Linked DNA regions of Anolis sagrei. The protein of the gene in region 2 interacts with the protein of the main gene of each other region in a pairwise test. Links are inferred from orthologs where the notes say so. Each region holds a gene or a part of one and is shown on either strand. Other genes may lie near its edges. The genes, in order: HEMK1 and CHN1.

Region 1 (11,480 bases), on a different chromosome or scaffold from region 2:
CAAGCCAACAACTTCAATACAAAGGTATCATAAGCTTCTCTAAAACTTTGATACTTTTTTCTAAAAATTAAACAATAAAACCCAGTTATCAAAACCCTCAAGTGTTGTCTTCTCTACTTTATCCTTTATAAATGATAAAAAGTTCCCAGTCTTTTAAAGTTGTCTAGAGACTTCTCTTACATCAAAGTTGATAATCTTCCCCATTTCTGTCATTTTGAAAGACTTCAAAAATCCTGTCATCTTTTGTTGTATTGTCAATATTTTTCTACCTCTGAGAATACAAAAGTCTCACTGCCAGAACCATGCAATGAAACATTTTTTTTATTTACACCTATAAGCATTTTAAGTAAACAATATATAAGGATGCATTTTTTCTAAACTGGACAGTCAGATTCCCCTTTAAAGAAACAACAAATGTAACACATTTCTTCCATTTTTTCATGACACAAGCCACAATCATCTGCTAAGCACCTGAGAGTTGACAGATCCCCTTCCTTCCTCCCTTCTGCCAACTTTTCTGTAAAGTTCTGGAAAAAGGCAAGTATGTTGGTATAGCCACTCACCTTTGAAGGCGTTTTGCACACAGCTGCTCAACCTGTTCCTGCTGCTGGACTGAGAAGTAAGGAGAAATGTTGCCAGCATTTAAGCTCTGAAACTGAAAAGGAAGTCAATTGCAAGTGTTTAAATTTACTGTTAGCTCACCAAATCAAGTGTGTAAATGTCAGAATACTGATATGAAGCCAATGGCAGAGTTAGAAAAATTAAATGGGGACTACAGCATCGAATGGCCACGCTGCTGAGGACCTGGAAAAGGGAGGGGGCGGCTTTCATATGCATTGATTCTAAAATAAAAGTCTTGCTTGGTTAGAGGCAGCCAATCACAGTTCAGGATGAGGCCAGAGTCCATCTAGCATCCTATCTTGTTTCCCAAGTTAGGAGACTAAATCTTGGGAAACAATGTTAGATCTTGGGAAACAAAATTAGATATAAAATAGCCCAGTTAAAAAACACTGTTTCCTTTTCCCCCAAAAAGCCTTATTTTCTATAAAAATAAATAAAAATGGATCTTGTTTCTTCCTTCTAAAATGATAAACAGTTTAAGGCAAGGTTTATGTATTTATTATATGAAAACTAGGCAAAAACATTTATATAAGCCTATATGCAGTATCACACCATTGCATTTTCTGGACTTTTCTTTTCTTTTTTTCTGTTCCTTTTATGGGAATAAGTGCTTTATGTCTGCTTTGATATTGCAGAGGACTATAGGAGACAAAACAGTTCTTTGATACTCTTCTGTTTTTTGTTTTGTTTTGCAGGTTTATCACACACTGACAAACTCAATTCAGTTCCTTATAATTCAGGATTTGCTTACAATTCAAGATTTTTATTCAAAGGTACTGTGTTGGACAAACAGCAAAATGAAACAAAATCAAAAATCCACAAAAGAAGTTAACATGACAAAAAAGCCAGAAGAGCTTCAAAAGCTTGCATAAAGTGGTTTGTGCATTAGGTTTGGTCAAAAATTGTATCATGCTTTTGTGAAATTTGGAATTTGTAACTCTGTTGTAACAAAAAAAAATTAAATTAAATTAGTCTGAATAAATGATTTTTAAGTAAATAAAACATGGTAAGTTTAATACCAGACAAAGTTATATTTCACATTCCTAAAACAACAAAGTGACTTTCAATCTTCCAAGCATGTTAATATTGCTTTTTTCCAGTTTTTTTCATACAGTTTCAAAATTTCTGAAAACTTCATTATCTCTGGACATTGTGCCTCTAAACACACAGGGTACCAAGAGCTATTACAGTTGTTAATAGACCCAGTTCCCATAAATCTATCTTTAATTCACTTTTCAAGAAGGCTTGTATTTAACAACTTGTCTGGAATGCGAAGGGATCTTTTAACACCTTTGAGACTAAATGAGAGGAAGAAATTTGTAGGATAAGTTTTTGTAGACTAGGTCTATTTCCTCAGATGCCACTGATGAAGTAGATCCAGTGTTTGAAATCTTAACGTTACAAACATCTTTCTCTCAGTTAGTCTCAAAGTACCTCAATATTCCTTGGGATACTGACCTAGATTAACATGGCTATTCCCTTGAAGCTGCATGGTAGTCGTAATAGTGAAGAAATTCCATGCAGGAGAATGAGACAGTTGGAAGAGGAATTTTTTGCACTTGCTAGAGGTATAAACAGGATGAACTGTACTGAGATGCTATTGCAACATGCAAGTGCATCCTCAATATACCTTGACAAAAGCAGAGGAGTTCACACTTTAAATCTATAACAGAAAAGGAAACCATGTGGTTATTCTGATGTTACTAGACTGTAACTCCTGTCATTGCTGACTATGCTGGCTAGGGCTGATGGAGTTTCACTGTAATAAAATCTGGAAGGTTAAACATTTCTCATATCTGGTCTACAAGAAGTACTCTTTATCTCACAGACTAGGTCTAGAATTAACTGGAACATCATACATGTGACAGGCCTCCAGATATTCATTCCAATGCTTTGCGCAGACTTAAAATACTTCATAACACTTAACTGTTTTTGCTCCCAGAACATGAGAAACAATATATTCAGAAGAAGCCCGTGCTTCAGGGATCTCATTGGCCTCAAACACATCTTGCCAGTAGCTGACCAGTTCAGCAGCTGTCACCAAGCCAGCCTTAGAATGTGAACACTGCCTTAGCAGTCTGTGGCAAGGATGCAGGACACAGTTCCTGGCCAAAATCACTCCAAGATGGCCACAGTAAGGGGACAAATACAGAAGTTTCCTGTACAAAGAACTGGTGAAAACAGTCATGGCTCCAGAAGGTAACAACTTCCAAAAACAGAAAGAAATATCTCCTTTTAAAAGCCCTCTAAAGTATAATGGGCATCTCCAATAGTATCTGGTGTATTGACAAGTATTAATTTTAATAGATCAGCCCCATCTCTTCGTTCTTCATGAACCAGCATGTCAACAGGCGGTTTCACGTGCCCTTCTCCTGGTAGCCATCCTCTAGAAACCTAAAGAAAAAGAGACAGCCAAAGGGAAACCTCTCAGATTTAAAACAGGTAAACAGCCCATTTAAATAATTTAAACATAGATCATTAAATACAGCCTGTGAATCTATGTTACAGTTCTAGAAAAGAGGAACACTTAATGCACTTTGTTTTCCACAACTGTGGCTTCAATCATGTTTGCAAAAAAAATTAAGCACCACTGAAAATGCCCACACTTGCCTTATTAAGCAACACTGGCTAAAGGGCACTTTATATGTTACAGAATTTTAGCACAAATGAAAGGCTAATGTTCTTTAATGTGAAATTGTTTCCTTGAACATCACTAATATGCAAACTGTTTGCACTGGGCTATGTCACAACTACTTGTGTCTTCTCAGCAGTCATATAGATGGTGTGCATCTCTTGTACTCATGACCTGTTATCTACAGCAATTACATACAGTATATATGAGAAAAGCAAGTCCTAGTTAGTGCTGTAGTGCTTGCAATATCTTTAAACACAACCATGCTTTTGAGTAAGATTCTTCTTTTATCAGTTTTAAACTGCTTAGAAAACACTGGAGTTTTTTAAACAGATGTTTGGTATGGGGTTATGTACTACCAAGTTTCAAAAGACTTCTAACAGATTGGTGATTTAATGCTGGAAAAAATGCATGAGAATAAAAACAGAAAAAGCAATAGATACTTCAGTTGATTTTATTTATTTATGTATATTCTGCCTTTCTCAGGAACATGAACATAATGCCTGCTCAAGCACTGTATTCAAGACAGTTTTCCCTTCTGGAAGAACACACGGTTAGTTTTTTTAAATCCCATTCTCAGGAAAGACAAAGACAAGATAAACAAAACTATTTGGAACCAAGGAAAGTGGTGTGATGCTACTCTTATTCCGTGACACATGCTCGCATTTTTGTTGTCCTAAAATACAACAGGTAGGGGCCCCATCCACACAGCTAAATATAATCCCACATTTTCTGGACTCGGATAAGCCAATTCAAAGCAGATATTCTGGGTTATACGGCTGTGTGGAAAGGCCTGGAGGCCCCTTCTACACTGTCATATAATCCAGATTATTGAAGAAAAATAATCAATATCATCTGCTTTGAACTGGGTTATATAAGTCTACACTGCAATAATCCAGTTCAAAGCAGATAAACTGGATTTTGTAGAAGGGGCCCCTTCCACACAGCTAAATATAATCCTACATTTTCTGGAATATATGGCAGTGTGGACTCAGAAAACCCAGTTCAAGGCAGATATTGTGGGATTTTCTGCCTTGATATTCTTGGTTATATGGTTGTGTTTAAGGACCCTTAGGATGCATCTGTGCAGTTTGTTGCCCCTTTAATTGCTATAGCTCAATGCAATGGAATTATGAGAATTGTAATTTTTCAAGGTTTTTGGCCTTCTGTCAGAGAGGGTTTATGCCAAATAAGTAATGCCTCGCTAAACTACAAATCCTAGGATTCTATAGCAGTTAAAGTGATATCAAAGGGCCCTTCCACACAGTCCTATATCCCAAAATATCAAGGCAGAAAATCCCACAGTGTGGACTCAAATAACCCAGTTCAAAGCAGATATTGTGGGATTTTCTGCCTTGATATTCTGGGATATAGGACTGTATGAAAGGGCCCAAAAAGGAATAATGTTATACTGGCGATACACCCTTAGTTAGCTGTATTTTGGTTGGAATCGTGGCTTTTCCCCACTTGTATTTCAACAAGACACGAAACGATTCTAGCCCATATTCCAGTCCTCCGTGTGTTTTGGACTGCACCTCCCAGAAGCCTCAGCTGCCTCTCGACCAATGATGAGGGATTCTGGGAGCTGATGCCCAGAGAGATGGAACCACTGACTTATAATAATGAAACCCAGCCTTCCAGGCTTCTGAAAGCATTGTCCCCTCAACAGAACCGAGCAGGACAGGAGGAACGGAAATGTTATCGGGGTGCCGAGCTGCTAACTGTGATCCTGAGGCACATGAGGCCAATGCCGTTCGGTTCCTACCGACCTCTCAAACGCGTTGGGAAGAAAACACGCCTCACTTCCGGCTTGTGCAGCGCTATTCCTGCGGCACCGGAAATGACGTTGTGGTAATATAGTTCCTAGAGGGCTAAAGTCCCACCTCGTCAAAGGGACGGGTCCCTTTGAAGAGAGGAAAGCGAGAGAGCGAGTAGAGGGCGGCCCCTCGTGGCTGTTCCGGTGCATTGCAGCACATGCTATATGGGTTGTTGTAGGGTTTTTAGGTTGTATGGCATCAGGCTGGAAAAAAAACAACTTATATCCCCATACCAAAAAAGAGAAATGCTAAAGACTGCTCCAACTTCCGTACAGTGGCCCTTATTTCTCATGCCAGTAAGGTAATGCTCAAGATCCTGCAAGGAAGACTCCAGCAATACATGGAGCGAGAGTTGCCAGATGTTCAAGCTGGGTTTAGAAAAGGTAGAGGAACGAGAGACCAAATTGCCAATATCCGCTGGATAATAGAGAAAAGCAGGGAGTTTCAGAAAAACATCTACTTCTGTTTTATTGACTATTCCAAAGCCTTTGACTGTGTGGATCATAATAAATTGTGGCAAGTTCTTGGTGGGATGGGCATCCCAAGCCACCTTGTCTCTCTCCTGAGGAATCTGTACAAGGACCAAGTAGCAACAGTAAGAACTGACCACGGAACAACAGACTAGTTCAAGATTGGGAAAGGCATACGGCAAGGCTGCATCCTCTCACCCAACCTATTCAACTTGTATGCAGAACACATCATGCGATGTCCGGGGCTTGATGAATGCAAGGCTGGGGTGAAAATTGCTGGAAGAAACATTGACAACCTTAGATATGCAGATGACACCACTTTGATGGCCGAAAGCAAGGAGGAGCTGAGAAGACTTCTAATCAAGGTTTAAGAAGTGCAAAAGCTGGGTTGCAGGTAAACATTTAAAAAATCATGGCAACCAGACAGATTGATACTGTTTTTATTGTTGTATTGTATTTTATTGTTGCATTGATGCTGGCATCGAATTGTGCCTTTGTAAGCCGCTCTGAGTCCCCCCCCCCCCCCCCCGGGGTGAGAAGGGTGGGGTAGAAGTGTCTGAAATAAATGAAATAAATAAATTGATAACTGGCAAATAGAGGGAGAAAACGTGGAGGCAGTGGCAGACTTTGTATTTCTAGGTGCAAAGATGACTGCAGACGCAGACTGCAGCCAGGAAATCATGAGGCGCTTACTTCTTGGGAGGAGAGCAATGACTAATCTCGATAAAATAGTGAAGAGTAGAGACATCACACTGGCAAGGAGATCTGCATAGTTAAAGCAATGGTATTCCCCATGGTCACATACGGCTCAGAGCTGGACCATAGGAAAGGCTGAGCGAAGGAAGAGAGATGCTTTTGAACTGTGTTGGAGGAACGTTCTGAGAGTGCGTTGGACCGCGAGAAGATCCAGCCAGTCCATACTTCAGGAAATAAAGCCTGACTGCTCACTGGAGGGAAGGATATTAGAGGCAAAGATGAAGTACTTTGGCCACATCATGAGAAGAAAGGAAAGCTTAGAGAAGACAATAATGCTGGGGAAAATAGAAGGAAAAAGGAAGAGGGACTGACCAAAGGCAAGATGGATGGATGGCACCTTTGAAGTGACTGTTTTGACCTTGAAGGAGCTGGGGGTGGTGATGGCCGACAGGGAGCTCTGGCATGGGCTGATTCATGAGGTCACGAAGAGTTGGAAGTGACTGAACAAATGAACAACAAGCTTTTCGGGGCTGTATCGCATGTTCTAGAAGCATTCTCTCTTGATGTTTCGCCTGCATCTGTGGCAGGCATCCTCAGAGGTTGTGAGGGAAGCCTTCAACAATATGAAATCAAACCCAAGGCTAGCTACAGTAGAGTCCATACAGTTAATACCAAACTGCAACTGCCATGATGGAGACTACAGACAATGCTGTTGCCTGTTATTGGTCAAAAGATATTTAGCCACCTGCATGCCTTCTATTTTTATCAGTTTTATACTAATTTATGCAATGATTTGATACAAAATAAATAAAACTGCCATGATTCTGTAGCATTGAGGCTCAGCAGCTAAAGTGGTGTCAAACTGCATCAGTTCTACAGTGTGGCTGTACCCTAAAAACCGATGAAGTCATCCAACTTGAACATTCATACCACACATTTGCTGTTGCAGATTTGGAAACATGTAGACCAAAGTACAATCTAAGGACTCAAAAAGTATATTGAACCTATGGATAGAGAATCTGTAGATAGTACCATAATTTGTTTATATAGTAGTTGGTGCTCTTTAGTTTTTACCCCATTTGGGGTAAAACGAAACGAAAACTCCCATAACTTTTGATTATTTGCTATGCAGTCTGAGGAGAATGGGAATTGCAGCCCAAATAGCTCTGAGGTTGGGGAAAGCTTGATGGACATTTTTAAAGTCAGACATTATATCCATAAGCCTTGTGTCTAAATTCAAACACCACTCTCCTGCCTAAACAGAACAAACTGCAATTCTCCAGATGTTACTGTATCACAACTCACATCTGCTCTAGTCATGAGGTTTAATAATGAGGAATACTATGTGGTAGAGGCTCTTGTGTGGTGGAAACTCCTTCTTTGGAGGCTTTTTAACAGAGGCCATCTGTCAGGGGTGCTTTGAAAGAGATTTTCGTGCTTCTTTCCCAAAAGGGGATGGACTGGATGGCCCACGAGGTCTCTTCCAACTCTATGATTCTATGATTAATACAGTAGCTGTATTTGGTCTATAGGCCTTGGGTTCTGTTTGACACATCTGCCTTATCTGAAAATCTGAAATAACCCCCAAATCTGCATGGGTGACTGAGATAGTAACACCACAAAATTGTTTAAAATATTATGTGCAAAATTATCTTCAGGTTATGCATATGAAGCAGGCATGGGTAAACTTTGGCACTCTGGCTGTTTTGGAGTTCAGCTAACAGCTGGTAGACTGTTAGGAATTGTGGTAGTTGGAGTCCAAAATACCTGGAGGGCCAAAGTTTTCCCATGCCTGGTATAAAGTGTACAGTATTTCTTGGGGTTAACAGTGGAAACAACATTTTTTATTTTTAAAATGCTATTTTTCAACCTAAGGAAGCATCTCTCTAAGAACCTTTTGGCCTTTCACCAGAATTTGTCCAGTGTCATGCTTTTTGTTCATGTAAGGAGCGACTTGAGAAATTGCAAGTCACTTCTGGTGTGAGAGAATTGGCTGTCTGCAAGGACGTTGCCCAGAGGACACCTAGATGTTTTGATAATTTATCTTCCATGTGGGAGGCTTCTCTCATGTCCCTGCATGGAGAGCTGGAGCTGACAGAGGGAGCTCATCCGCACTCACACTGGATTTGAACCTCCAACCCTTACCCTAACCCAAAGCTTGCCCTAACTGTAACCTCTAACCCTTACCCTAACCCAAACGCAAAACCTTACCCTAACCCGAAACCATAACCTCCAACCCTAACCTTACCCTAACCCTAACTGTAACCTCTAACCCTTACCCTTACCCTAACCGTAACCTCTCACCCTTATGCAAACCCAAACCCTAAACCTTACCCTAACCCTAACCTCTAACCCTTATCCTAACCGTAACCTCTCACCCTTACGCAAACCCAAACCCTAAACCTTACCCTAACCCTAAACTGTAACCTCCAACCCTTACCTAGGGAGAGTGTGGATGAGCTCCCTCTGTCAGTTCCAGCTCTCCATGTGGGGACATGACAGAAACCTCCCACAATGATGGTAAAACAGCAAAACATCCAGGTGTCTCCTAGGTAACGTCCTTGCAGACGTCCTTGCCAATTCTCTAAGAACAGAAGCGACTTGCAGTTTTTCAAGTTGCTCCTGACACGGAAAAAAACCCCCAAGGCCTTTCCCCTTCTCTGCCAAAGAGTACTGGTGGCTCCCCAAATCACAACTTCCAGGATTCCCTAGCACTGAGCCAGGGTGAAGCGTCAAAAGACGCCTCCCGGCCATTCATAGGGTTTCCTCCTGACGGCAAATCCCGCGCAAATCCTAACCTCGAAGGGCGCTCATTGGTCGGCTCTACGGCGGCGAACTGCTCTCCCCGTGAGTGACGTGGACGTAGGCCCAATCGCGAATCTTAGCGCCGCCCCCCGTGGGCCAATCCCAAGCGAAGGGGAGCCCAAAGCCGAACCTCCAGAAGGGCGGCGAGGGGAGGGGACCGGGATCCTCCTCCTCCTCCTCCTCCTCTTGCTGGAGCATCCATCCTCTTCTTCCCGGGGAGACACAATGGCCAGCCAGAGCCGGGCGGCGGCAGCATCAGCACCCACTTCTGAGGCTCCTCCGGCGCAGGTAACCTCCATAGCCGGGAGCCCTGCCTGCCTGCCTGCCTGCGAGGAAGCCAGTCCTATCTGCCGCTGAGTTTCCCACGGAGGCGGCGGAGGAGGAAGGGGGGGGGGAGCGGTCCTCTTGCAGGCTTCGCCCCTTCTCCACCGGGAGGAGCGGGATCAAAAGCAGGCTGGCCTCCAGGGCAAGAGGGAGGAAGTGGATGAGGGACATAGAGGCAGGGAGAGAGAGAAGGCCTGGCAAAAGGGGAGGCCCTGCGTCTACACCGGAGAATGGATGCAGTTTGACTCCGCTTTACTCCTTGCCACGGAATCCTGGGAGTTGGGAGTTTTTGCAAAGTGGTCCGCCTCCCCTGCCAAAGAGGCCCGCGCGCAGGATCCCCCTGGCATTGGAATTAAACTGCATTCGTTCCGCAGTGTAGACGCAGGGCCTCCCTCATCACCAGGTGTCAAACTGTATGGGTTCTGCAGTGGAGAACCTGTCCTAGGAGCTGTGCAAGGGGGAGGGACTCTCTTCCTCCTCCCCCTCCTCCCTGCCTGGGTGCTGATGTCATGGTTTTGGCTCACAGGACTGAGCATCCTCACGAACACGTGCACACGCAAGAGAGAAGGGTGATAGGAGAGAGCCAGGGAGGAGGTCACCAACCTGGAGGGGTAGTTCAAACACTATACTCTCCTTCCATGCTAGGAGGGAAAGTTGACCTGAAAAACAGGCATGGGCCAACTTCGGCCAGGCAGGTGTTTTGGACTTCAACTCCCACAATTCCTAACAGCCTACTCGGTGTCCTGGGGGTGGGTACATAGGTAGTTGTGGAGCCCTATTCTTGACCTGCATCTTCTCCCACAGTGAGGGCATTGGTTTCCAGGTGGAAGGTGGTCTCAGTCGGGGTTTGCTTGATGTGCCTTCCTCTTGGCACGTTTCTCTCTTTCGCCCTCCATTCATGCCTCTTCAAATTGTACAGCACTGCTGGTCACAGCTGACCTCCAGCTGGAGCGCTCAAGGCCAGGGCTTCCCAGTTCTCAATGTCTATGCCACAGTTTTTTAGGTTGGCTTTGAGGCTATCTTTAAATCTCTTTTCCTGCCCACCAACATTCCGTTTTCCGTTCTTGAGTTTGGAGTAGAGCAACTGCTTTGGGAGACGGTGGTCGGGCATTCGGACAACGTGGCCAGTCCAGCGGAGTTGATGGCGAAGGACTATCACTTCAGTGCTGGTGGTCTTTGCTTCTTCCAACACGCTGACATTTGTCCGCTTGTCTTCCCAAGAGATTTGCAGGATTTTTCAGAGGCAATGCTGATGGAATTGTTCCAGGAATTGCATGTGACATCTGTAGATAGTCCACGTTTCACAGGCGTATAGCAGAGTTGGGCGGACAACAGCTTTATAAACAAGCACTTTGGTATCCCTACGGATGTCACACCACACAATTATAATACGAACTTGAGTATCCCTCATCCAAAATTCTTGAGGCCAGAGGTGTTTTTAATGCTGTTGACCTTTCCTCAGTATTTAGAATGCCTGTATTTGCATATATTTACATAATGAGACAACTTGGAGATAGGACCCGTGTTTAGACGTCATTTTCAGGCATGTTTCCAATTCGTCTTCTACACATAGACTAAAGTTAGTCTTTTTGAATAATATTGTGAATGAAACAAAGTTTGTGAACATTGAACCCTCAGCCATCAAAAGTGTTACCATCCCAGCCTCCCATGTGAACCATTTCCAATTTGAGAATTCTGGATACTCAGCTTATACTATGATTCCTCTTTAGCAGCCCTGGCTGCATCCTATGGAATCCTGGAAGAAAACTCTAAATGCCCCTCTGAAATTATCAATCCCAGGATTCAGTAGCATGTTGCCTAGGTGATTATAGTGGAATCATAGTACTATAACCGTGTAGTGTGAAAAAGCCCCAGAAAAAAAGAATTTAGCTTACTTTCTTTTTTATATATATATATATATGTATAAAATCGTAGAGTTGGAAGAGACCTCTTGTGCCACCCAGTCCAAACCCCTGCCAAGAAGCAGGAAAATCACATTCAAAGCACCTCCAACAGATGGCCATCCAGGATCTGTTTGAAAGCCTCCAAAGAGGGAGGAGGGAGCAAGCTTGTATTCTTTTGCCCTGGAGACTAGGATGTGGAAAAATGTCTTCA
Region 2 (11,209 bases):
CTCCCTCAAGTTAAGAAACAGGAATGAGTTATTAATGTAATGAAATTTTCTTCCACAAATAATATTTTAATATCAAGATTATTTTTGCTTCACTTTACTGTCACCAAGTGCTTTTTAATTGCCAAGTTAGAAATGTGTGCAATTAAGCTTAATAATTATTTTAATTTATTAATACGCTCTCATATAACATTCTGTTTTAATAGTTTATTTACCAGAGTGTTTGCCTGCTGCTGGAAACATAAATGCATCAAATATAAAATACCTTGTTTTTATTTTTTTAAACCCTCATTTCTTTAATGTGCAATGTTTCTCTTTAAAAACTTGCAAAGACAGTTTACTAAATGAAGATCAGATAGCTACATCTTTACTCATCTCGCTTTTGCTGCCAATATGATCTTTTCTTTGGGAGGGAAAATACATAATGTTGGGAACTCTAACCTGCTTCCTAGGCCCACAAAAAAATCAGTTTCTCCCAGTTCTGGAGCAACTTCTTCCAACCAGGATATACAAGAAGCTAGACAACTACAAAGGAGTAAGACAGATGGTATTCCCAGGGTGCCTTTGAGGAAACACACCTCATGGTTGCAAGTGCCAGCCATATCGATTTCTCTCTCTCTCTTGTGAACAGAGGTGAAAGAACAGATCGTATAAAGTCTGGTGCTAAATATGCCAGAAGCAAATCAACTTTAAAAAAAAAAAAAAACCCAAAACACTCTCAAAACTGTCTTCAGGAGCATGCACACACCCATTCTGCCTGGAGCAGAAACAATAGGAGAGATACAGAGGGAGTAGCAGCCTTCTCTTGCTTGCCAGTCTAACTGCTGCTGTTGTTATAACTAACTTCAAGTTGACCTCTACCAATGGTGACCCTATGAATAAGGTTCCAAATCCTCAACATCCCTGCTCAGGTCTTGCAGACCTGCGATTTCCTCAATTGAATCTATACACCTGTAATGCTTCCTTCCTCTTTTTCTCCTGCCTTCTACCTTACCAAGCAGTATTATCCTATCTAGTGAACCACCCCTTCTTATGACATGTCCAAAGTACGACAGTCTCAGATGAGCCATTTTGTCTTGTAGGAAGGGGTTTGGCTTGATTTGCTCAAGGACCCATTTATTGGTCATTTTTAACCCTCTTGGCTTCTAGAGGGAGTTCAGCTCTGAGTCTAGGGCCAGCTGAAAAAAAATCCACATTTTCTGCTTTGAATTGGAAGATATGGCAGTGTGGGCTCAGATAATAACCCAGTTCAAAGTGGATATTGTGGGATTTTACGCCTTAACATTCTGGGTTATATGGTTGTGTGGAAGTGCCCTAAGACCCATTTGCTGGTCATGCATTTGGCTTGAAGGGACATTCTTCCTTGATTTACTCTGGGATCCATTTATTGGTCATTTATGTGTTCCTGTTGGCTTCTAGGGATAGTTCAGGATTGAGTCTAAGGTTGGATCTACACTGCCCTATATCCCAGGATCTGATCGCAGGTTGTCCACTGATTCCAGATGATCTGGCAGTGTAAACTCATATAATCCAGTTCAAAGCATATAGTCTGGGATCATATACTGTGACATAGGCAGTGTAGATCCAGCCTAAGACCCATGTATTGGTCATTTATTTACTCATCTTGGCTTGTAGGGAGAGTTCAGCCTTGGGTACTTCCAGACAGGCCCTATATCCCAGCATCTGATCCCAGGTTTTCTGTTTATCCCAAGGCCCTTCTACATAGCCATATAACTCAGAAAATCAAGGGAGAAAATCAGACAATCTTTGCTTTGAACTGGAGGCCCTTCCACACAGCCCTATATCCCAGAATATCAAGGGAGAAAATCCCACATTATCTGAGTGTGGACTCAGATAACCCAGTTCAAAGCAGATATTGTGGGATTTTCTGCCTTGATATAGGGCTGTGTGGAAGGGCCTAGGGTTTTTTTTTTTTATCATGTCAGGAGCGACTTGAGAAACTGCAAGTCGCATCTGGAATGAGAGAATTGGCCGGCTGCAAGGACATTGCCCAGGGGACACCCGGATGATTTGATGTTTTTATCATCCTTGTGGGAGGCTTCTCTCATGTCCAGCTGATAGAGCTGGAGCTGATAGAGGGAGCTCATCCGCCTCTCCCCGGATTTGAACCTGCGACCTGTTGGTCTTCAGTCCTGCCAGCACAGGAGCCAGGGCCTAGGGTGATCTGTGTGTACACTGCCACATATTCCAGTTCAAAGCAGAAAATGTGGGATTTTATTCAGCTGTGTGGAAGGAGCCCTAGATTATCTGGCAGTGGGGGCTCATATAAAAAATCCAGTTTAATGCAGAAAAATAGAGTTGAGACATTGGGATATTGGGCCTGTCTGGAGGGTTCTCTTGATTCCCAGGGCCCTTCCACACACCCCTATATCTCAGAATCTCTGCTCTTCTCTTAGGCCATCCCTTGTTGTCAGAGTAGGATAGTCTTCCAAGATCAGTGTACTGGTGGGTCTGTAGGTGACTGTGGTGCCCTATTTTTGATATGCATCAAGGCAGGAAATCCCACAATATCAAGGCAGAAAATCCCACAAAATCTGCTTTGAACTGGGTTATCTCAGAGCCCTTCTACACAGCCATATAACTCAGAATATAAAAGCAAGAAACCTCACAATATCTGCTTTGAACTGGGTGATCTGAGTCTACACCGCCATATTCCAGTTGAAAGCAGAGAATGTGGGATTTTATTCTTCAGCTGTGTGGAAGGGGCCTGGGTTATCTGTGCCCAGGCCCCTTCCACACAGCTGAATAAAATCTGCTTTCAACTGGAATATAAGGCAGTGTGGACTTAAGGACCTTCCACACAGCCCTATGCCTTAGAATATCAAGGCAGGAAATCCCACAATATCTGCTTTGAAGTGGGTTATCTTAGTCCACACTCAAGTAATGTGGGATTTCCTGCCTTGATATTCTGGGATATAGGACTATGTAGAAGGGCTCCTTGATTCTAGGACCCATTTGTGAGTCATTTATGGAGTCATCTGGGCACCCTTCCACACAGCTGAATAAAATCCCACATTCTCTGCTTTCAACTGAAATATAGGCAGAAGCGGCCCTAGGTAATTTTCAATGGTAAGCAAACAGTATTCCCCCCCCCCCCCCCAATCACTGATATATATTTTGTGTTTGTCATGGGAGTTCTGTGTGCCATATTTGGTTCAATTCCATCATTGGTGGAGTTCAGAATGCTCTTTGATTGTAGGTGAACTATATATCCCAGTAACTACAACTTGCATATGTCAAGATCTATTTTCCCCCAAGAGCGCCTCAAGAGCGCCCCTGGGCAAAATCAACTATACTGCAAAGGCTTACTTTGAGTAATGGTTGAGCTGCCCCTGAATATAGGGCTGTGTGGACTCAGATCACCCACTTCAAAGCAGATCTTGTGGGATTTTCTGCCTTGATATTCTGGAATATAGGGCTGTGTGGAAGGGCTCTGAGATAAAATCCCACATTCTCTGCTTTCAACTGGAATATAAGGCAGTGTGTGGACTTAAGGCCCTTCCACACAGCCCTGTATCCCAGAATATTAAAGCAGAAAATCCCACATTATCTATGTCCACACTCTGATACTGTGGGATTTCCTGCCTTGATATTCTGGGATACAGGGCTGTGTGGAAGGGCCCCTTGATTCTAGGACCCATTTCTAAGCCATGTATGGAGTCATCTGGGCTTGTAGGGAGAGTTCAGTCTGGACGCGCTTATTGGCTTGTATGGGCGGCTCAGCCTCGAGTCTTGGCTACCCTGTGGAGGGAAAGGAAGGAGGACGCAGCCCGCGCCTTCCATGGCGAGCCCACCCCGTCCCCAGACCCAGGCGCGCCCTCTCCCCCTTTTGCCCCCGAGCCGAGCGCTGTGACTCACCGAAGAGGGTCAGGGCCATGGCGAAGGCGCGGCGAGGCGGAGGGCACGGGCTCCGCGCCTCCCTAGACGCGCAGCCGAGGAAGCCAACCAGGCGCACAAAGAGCGGCGGCTGCAATAAAAGTTCTCTCGCCTGAAGAGGCGCCGGGTGGGGATGGTGAGGGGCTGGGCTCCGTTTGGGGCTTTGTGGGCGGGCCCAGGGGAGGCTGGGCGGTGGCTCTGGCCGAGGAAACTTCAGACAGCTGTTGCCCGCCGGAGGGACGCCTCGCTCTCCCGGCGCTTCTTCCCGCCGCCTCGGCTCAGCAGCCGCCTTTCAGGCTCTGGTAGCCATCTTGGCTCGCCACATGACCGGCTCCCCCTCCCCTCCTCGAGCCCAGCGCCAGTTCCCATGGCAACGGGGGCTCGCGGGCCACCAGCCTCCTCCATCCCTGGCCCGCCCTCTCTCCTTCCCTCCTGTCAACCTCGCAGAAGCAAAGCTAGAAGGGATGCTGCATTGGTTTCTCTTTCTGAAGAGGAGAGGGAGCAACAGGGTCTCTCTCTCTCTCTCTCTCTCTCTCTCTCTCTCTCTGCCCAACTTCACTCTTTTCCACATCTCCTCCAAAGCACTTCGCAGTGACCAACACTCTCATGTCTCACTTTGGGAGGACGGATCTGCATACACTGTAGAACAGGCTTGGGCAAACTTTAAGCTTAAGCGGCTGAGGGGGAAAAGGAAGGGGCCTGAGGCTGTTAGGAATTGTAGGAGTTGAAGTCTAAAACACCTGGAGGGCCAAAGTTTGCCCAAACCTTTTGTAGAATGAATGCAGTTTTATAGTATAGTAGAGCAGTGGTTCTCAACCTGTGGGTCCCCGAAATACAACACCGCCTGAGCTCTGCGAGTGCAGCATTTTCCCGAATGAAGCAGAGAGTGTTTGAGGACCAGGACATCCGTAGGGATACTAAGGTGCTTGTCTATAAAGCTATTGTCCTCCCAACCCTGCTCTATGCCTGCGAAACGTGGACTGTCTACAGACATCACATGCAACTTCTGGAACTATTCCATCAGTGCTGCCTCCAGAAAATCCCGGAAATCTCTTGGGAAGACAAGCGGACAAACGTCAGCGTGCTGGAAGAAGCAAAGACCACCAACATTGAAGCGATGGTCCTCCAACATCAACTCCACTGGGCCGGCCACGTTGTCTGGATGCCCGACCACCATCTCCCAAAGCAGTTGCTCTACTCTGAACTTAAGAACGGAAAACAGAATGTTGGTGGACAGGAAAAGAGATTAAAGATGGCCTCAACGCCAACCTTAAAAACTCTGACATAGACACTGAGAACTGGGAAGCCCTGGCCCTTGAGCGCTCCAGCTGGAGGTCAGCTGTGACCAGCAGTGCTGCAGAATTCGAGGAGGCACGAGTGGAGGGTGAAAGAGAGAAATGTGCCAGGAGGAAGGCGGGTCAAGCCAACCCCAACCGGGACCGCCTTCCACCTGGAAACCAATGCCTTCACTGTGGGAGAAGATGCAGGTTAAGAATAGGGCTCCACAGCCACCTACAAATCCACAAAAATAGTCATCAAGGAAGACCATCTTACTCATCCAACGAGGGATCGCCTAAGTAAGTAAGTAAGTGGGTCCCCAGATGTGTTGACTTTCAACTCCCAGAAATCTTAACAGGTGGTAATGTCACGTTGCAAGGGCTCTGCCTCTATTCAGGCAGAGGTGAATCAAACAAACAGCCAGTTTGAAACAATTTAATTAAAACAGCACTTACTTTCTGGCTGTTTTAATAGTCCAAAACATAAAGATAGCACTCGGCCACAGAATATAAAAAACTGACAGCAAACACTGTTACAGGTTCAAGATAACTCCGTAGTCAAAAGGTCCAGTCCAGTGGTCAAATGACAAGAGTTCAGTGAGCAAAGTCCAGGGATCAAGAGTTTATACCAGGGTCCTCAAACTAAGGCCCGAGGGCTGAATATGGCCCCCCAAGGTCATTTACCTGGTCCTTCGTCAGGGTCAACCTGTCTAAAACAAATTGAAAACACACAATAACTACAACAATCCTATCTCATCAGCCCAAAGCAGGTCCGCACTTCCCATTGAAATACTAATAAGCTTATATTTGTTCCAATTATTCTTCATTTTAATTATTGTATTGTTTTAAAGTGTTTTTTTGCACTACAAATAAGATATGTGCAATGTGCATAGGAATTCGTTCATGTTTTTTTTTTCCAAATTATAATCCGGCCCTCCAACAATTTGAGAGATTGTGACCTGGCCCTCTGTTTAAAAAGTTTGAGGACCCCTGGTCCATACCACAGTCAAAAGCCAGTCCAGAGATTCAAGGTTCCAGGGTTCAAGAGACAGTTCAGGATACCAAAAATCCACAAACCTGGGGGAAAACCAGCAGCATCTACCACCAAAATAAAACAAATACTTTTGTCCCAAAGATCAGTCCCAAGGCTAGCTCATTTTATCCAGAAACACCCAGCTGCAGTCTATCCCTTGCATACCTCCACCCTTAATTGCCTTCACCCATGTACTCTTACTTACAGATTACTCAACCCTTTAGAACTAAGACTTACATTAACCCTTCCATCACGAACTGCTAGGCCTACCACCATCAACTGCAGAACATGATACATGGCAGGTAAACTGGTTGGGATTTCTATGAGTTGTAGGGCAAAACACCTGGAGACCCACAAGTTGAGAACCACTGCAGTAGAGTCTAGATAAACGAAAATGTTGGATAATAAGGAGGGATAAAGGAAAAGCCTATTAAACATCAAATTACGTTATGATTTTACAAATTAAGCACCAAAATATCATGTTTTACAACAAATCGACAGAAAAAAGCAGTTCAATACATGTTATGTAGTAATTGCAGTATTTAAAAATTTAGCACCAAAACATCACAATGTATTGAAACAGCTATGGATCTGGGTGGAAGGCAGACTGCATTGGATAATACAGAACGTTGGGTGAGTGAAGGTTGGATAAGCGAAGCTCTACTGTAATATAAAATAACAGCTCTTTGTCCTTTAACATATCTACAGTATTTCTTACTCATCAATTAAGATCACATGGTTACCTTGTGACCTTGTTATTTTCTCTAAGCATGGCCAGACTTAAAGAGATAGTTCCTTGTCTGGCTTTTTCTGAGCTCTGGGAAAACATTAACCAGAGGGATAAAACTGACCAGGCAAGTTCTGGCTAAACAGAGACCTGAAGTGTATCTACATTGCAGAATTAATGTAATTTGAGATCACTTTAATTGCCATAGCTCAATTCTACGGAATTATGAGAACTGTCATTTTACAAAGTTTTATCTATTTATTTACTGCATTTATACCCCACCCTCTCTCACCCCAAAAGGAGCAGCTTACAAGTTATATGTACATACAATATATATTTTTAGCATAGCACAATATTAGCATTATTTATTACTATATTGTACCATGCCACCATACTGTAATATTATCAGTAATATTGCATGTAATATGTAATTAATATTATGTTATATTATTAGTATTATGTTGTATTACATATTATTATCAATATTATATGTATATACAATATATTGTATTATTAGCATAACACAATAATAGCATTATACATTACTTTATTGTATTATACAACTATACTGTAATATTATTAGTAATATTACATGTAATATATAATATATAATTTATATTAGTATATTATTAATAGTAGTATATTGTATTATTATTAGTAGTACTATATTGTATTATATTACAATATGCAATACAAATGGGAGATTGCTGGAGGGACCTTTCTTTAATTGTACAGCCATCTCTATTCCCAAGAGTTTATTTATTTATCGTGTCAGAAGTGAACCAAAACAGTTGTATTGCATTAAAAACAAACAAACCACAAAGTTTGCAGACTTGGCAAGAGTTTGCAGACTATTAAATGTCCTTTGGAGTGCTTCTGGTGTTGCTGCAAGAAGGTCCTCCACTGTGCATGTGGCAGGGCTCAGGTTGTATTGCAGCAGGTGGTCTGTGGTTTGCTCTTCTTCACTCTCGCATGTCGTGGATTCCACTTTGTAGCCCCATTTCTTAAGGTTGGCTCTGCATCTCGTGGTGCCAGAGCGCAGTCTGTTCAGCTTCTTCCAAGTTGCCCAGTTTTCTGTGTGCCCAGGACGGAGTCTCTCATTTGGCATTTTATACAAATGGGGCATTGGAGAAGCAGCTGCCTTCAGGATATATTTGATCCAAGTTAACACATTTATACATTGATACAATACACAATCAATACAAGTTACATAGGAAATATCAATTTTATACATTAAAGAGTATAGCTTTGATATAGTTTGGAATACAGTTGCTGCTGGGTCCTTCTGGAGCCTCCAGTAGCTTTGACATTGCAAAACTTTGAGAGAAAAATGCTTAAAAATCATAAAAAATCATATTTCTTGCTTGAAGTCTTCTTGTTGCTCATAAACCTTTAGGGAGGGAAGTGCTGTGGCTTGACAACTTCTAGATAGTGGCAGAAGATAGCTCAAAAACCAGCACTAGTACATGGACACCATTTAAAATAGCATTATGAAACACACTTCGGAATTGCATCACTTGAACTTAGGCACATCTTCCTTTATAATATGCCAACTTAACTGGGAATGGGAGGACAATATTGTTGCTACTAGGGGTTTACAACAGGCTTTTTCTAAGTAACGGAGGATAAGAAGCTTTTCTGTTACAGCTGCCACGGGTTGACTGGGTGTGTTATCAGTTCCACTAAGACTTGCAAGCTTTGAGCTTTGCATTTTGTCTTAGCTTGATGGCTCGTTTTGAGCTGAAAAAACCTTTGGCTGTTGCTGGGAGTGGTTATGCATCGTCCTGAAGCTGAAGATCGAAGCAGTTTGGAATGCCAGAGAAACTGCTTGTTTATGGCAAGACAAGGACATTCAACTGATAACTAAGTAGAGAGACTGTATTATTTTGCTATATGTTTGCATATCATCATGTAAAGAAGACTCATCGGAGATATTGTTAGTTGTATATTGGTGAGAACAATTCTGTTTTGCTTTGTGTTTTTGCTCTACAGTGAATAGAACTATATTTTTGTTTCTACTTAAAGCAACAGACTCGTGTATTTTTTGAGTTTTTATCACATTGAGAGTAAAAGTGGCTGAGACATTCTGTGGGCTGCTAACGCTACTCTGACAAATATGAGCAGGCCACTTTTCATGAATGGGGAAAGATACACAAGAACAAAAATGCTAATTCGGAGTCCCCTCCTATAAGAGTTATTTCTACATCCATGGAAAGCATCAATAGAAACTGGTTGATCTTGTTGCTGCACATTCCAGCAAATGGAACTAGTCCTAAACAGTGTTACACCATATCTTTCTCAATAATCTCCACAGATAAGGAAGAAGAAAAATAATAACACTATGTAACAAAATTTGAAAATGTTTCTGTTCCTGCTTTGAAAGTGTTATTCCTTTTAATTTTGTGGTACTTATTTTGAAAGTACTTGTCATACTCCAAAAACTTCATTTTTGTGATTGCTACAAACTATGTTGAATTGGTTAAATCTCGACTAAGTATTCCCTTAAAAACTATAGCAAAATGTGCTGCAAAATGTTTAATAAACCTTTTTCATGTTTTAATGATAGAACCAATTAGGAAATGACATTTATAACCCAGGAACAAAAAGTGTTATATAGTGCTGAGGTGGGGAATTATTCAGGATATTTAAAGGGCTATTGCCCTAATTTAAGTTTTCCTCTTGAGCTGTTCCCAGGTGTCCACTAAATCATAATAAGCATTCAGCATACATTGAAAGCTGTGTGATAAAATCATTCAAAAAGAGATTTCATAATGGCTGAAACATGTGCACATGTGGGAGTGACAGGAATTTTTCAGAGGTTTCTGCAGTTTCCTCACATCATAGAATGTCACTAGACTGGCCTAGCTAGGATTTTACTATCCTTACTCTGTTAGTGTTTCATGATCAACATGTGTTATAAATTGGCAAGGGCACACAGTGTTTTTAAGCAAAAAGAACTTGACCGAACCTAGGAAGGAAATGTTGAACCAGGGACAACTGAGTCTATTCTTCCAACAGCTATGAAGCCAGTAGAAGGGCAGAAGAAATTGCTTCTTCTACTTCCGGTCCCTGTAAGAATCAAAATGGTGTTAGTATACAAGTGGCATTTCAGTGACAGATATAGGGACACACCTTCAACAATCAGATATTCATTGATCATTGACTAAGGTAACACTTATCTTTCTCCCCCTCCACTAACAACAGAGATCACTTACATCTCTACTCCACTTTCTGAGTGCTGTATTAAATTACTAGGCAATTACCTGTCTTCAATCCATTCAAAAGCAAGGAGAGCAAGGGGTAACATCATCACCACCATCATCTGTGAATAGTAGTTCAGAATACTGCAGCATGTGAAACTGCAAGTTGTAACTAGCTACAAACTTAAAGTATTCATAATAAATATAAGCATTTATATATTACCTCTTATATGGTTTGAGGTATAACATGGTTAAAGCAGACAGACAAATACAACACTATTAAAATGCATAAATCAAAATACACACAACAAAGACCAATACTAATAAAATACAGGTTAAAATTCACTGTTTAAAATTGACTGGAAGAGATGGGTCTTCAGTTCTGTCTTGAATGCTGACAGCCCATTTAGCTTTTCAGATCTCTTCTGGGATGTCATTTCACAGTCTTGAGACAACTGATGAAAAAGTCTGCTGATGGTTCTTTCTGGCTGGAATGGTTGCCCCCCAGAGGCCCTAAGTGTCCTAAGGTGTAGATTGTATGGGAGACGGCAATCTTGCAGGTAACTTGGACCCAAACTATGGAGGGCTTAAAAGGTTATAGCCAACACTTTGTACTTTGTCTGAAAACTAATTGGCAACCAGAGTGTAATATACCCATTCCTAGATATTCCTGTAAGTATTCTGGCTGCCATGTTTTGAACTACTGGTAATTGGGGTTTTTGAACTTGGTAAAGAGATAGCCCAATGTAAAGCATGGGCTATCTCTTGAGGTTACCAGCATGTGTACCACCATCTTTACGTCCTCCAGATCTAGAAAGGCTGGATGGCCATCTGTCAGGGGTGCTTTGAATGCGATTTTCCTGCTTCTTGGCAGGAGGTTGGACTGGATGGCCCATGAGGTCTTTTCCAACTCTATGATTCTATGGAAGTGCGCAGCTGGTGTATCAGCTGAGGCTGGTAGGAAGCACTTCTGATCATCACATCTATCTGGAGAGATGGACCCAAGACCAGCCCCAATATTTATTTATTTATTTATTTATTTATTTATTGCATTTATTGACCGCCCCTCTCAGCCCGA

Evidence for each region.
Region 1: the proteins of CHN1 (region 2) and HEMK1 interact in binary tests that used the Homo sapiens proteins (3 or more experiments, as listed by UniProt). The two-hybrid records come from large-scale screens. The link is inferred for Anolis sagrei from reciprocal best matches to the Homo sapiens genes CHN1 and HEMK1.

What each region holds. Positions count from the first base shown.
Region 1 is NC_090022.1:71,664,822-71,676,301, forward strand, and holds the start of HEMK1 (MTRF1L release factor glutamine methyltransferase), read right to left. Parts: upstream 5,105-11,480; 5' UTR 5,023-5,104; intron 3,016-5,022; 5' UTR 2,810-3,015; coding exon 2,549-2,809; intron 656-2,548; coding exon 564-655; intron 1-563. UniProt on the Homo sapiens protein: N5-glutamine methyltransferase responsible for the methylation of the glutamine residue in the universally conserved GGQ motif of the mitochondrial translation release factors MTRF1, MTRF1L, MRPL58/ICT1 and MTRFR.
Region 2 is NC_090021.1:191,922,195-191,933,403, reverse strand, and holds the start of CHN1 (N-chimaerin), read right to left. Parts: upstream 4,228-11,209; 5' UTR 3,896-4,227; coding exon 3,877-3,895; intron 1-3,876. UniProt on the Homo sapiens protein: GTPase-activating protein for p21-rac and a phorbol ester receptor. Involved in the assembly of neuronal locomotor circuits as a direct effector of EPHA4 in axon guidance.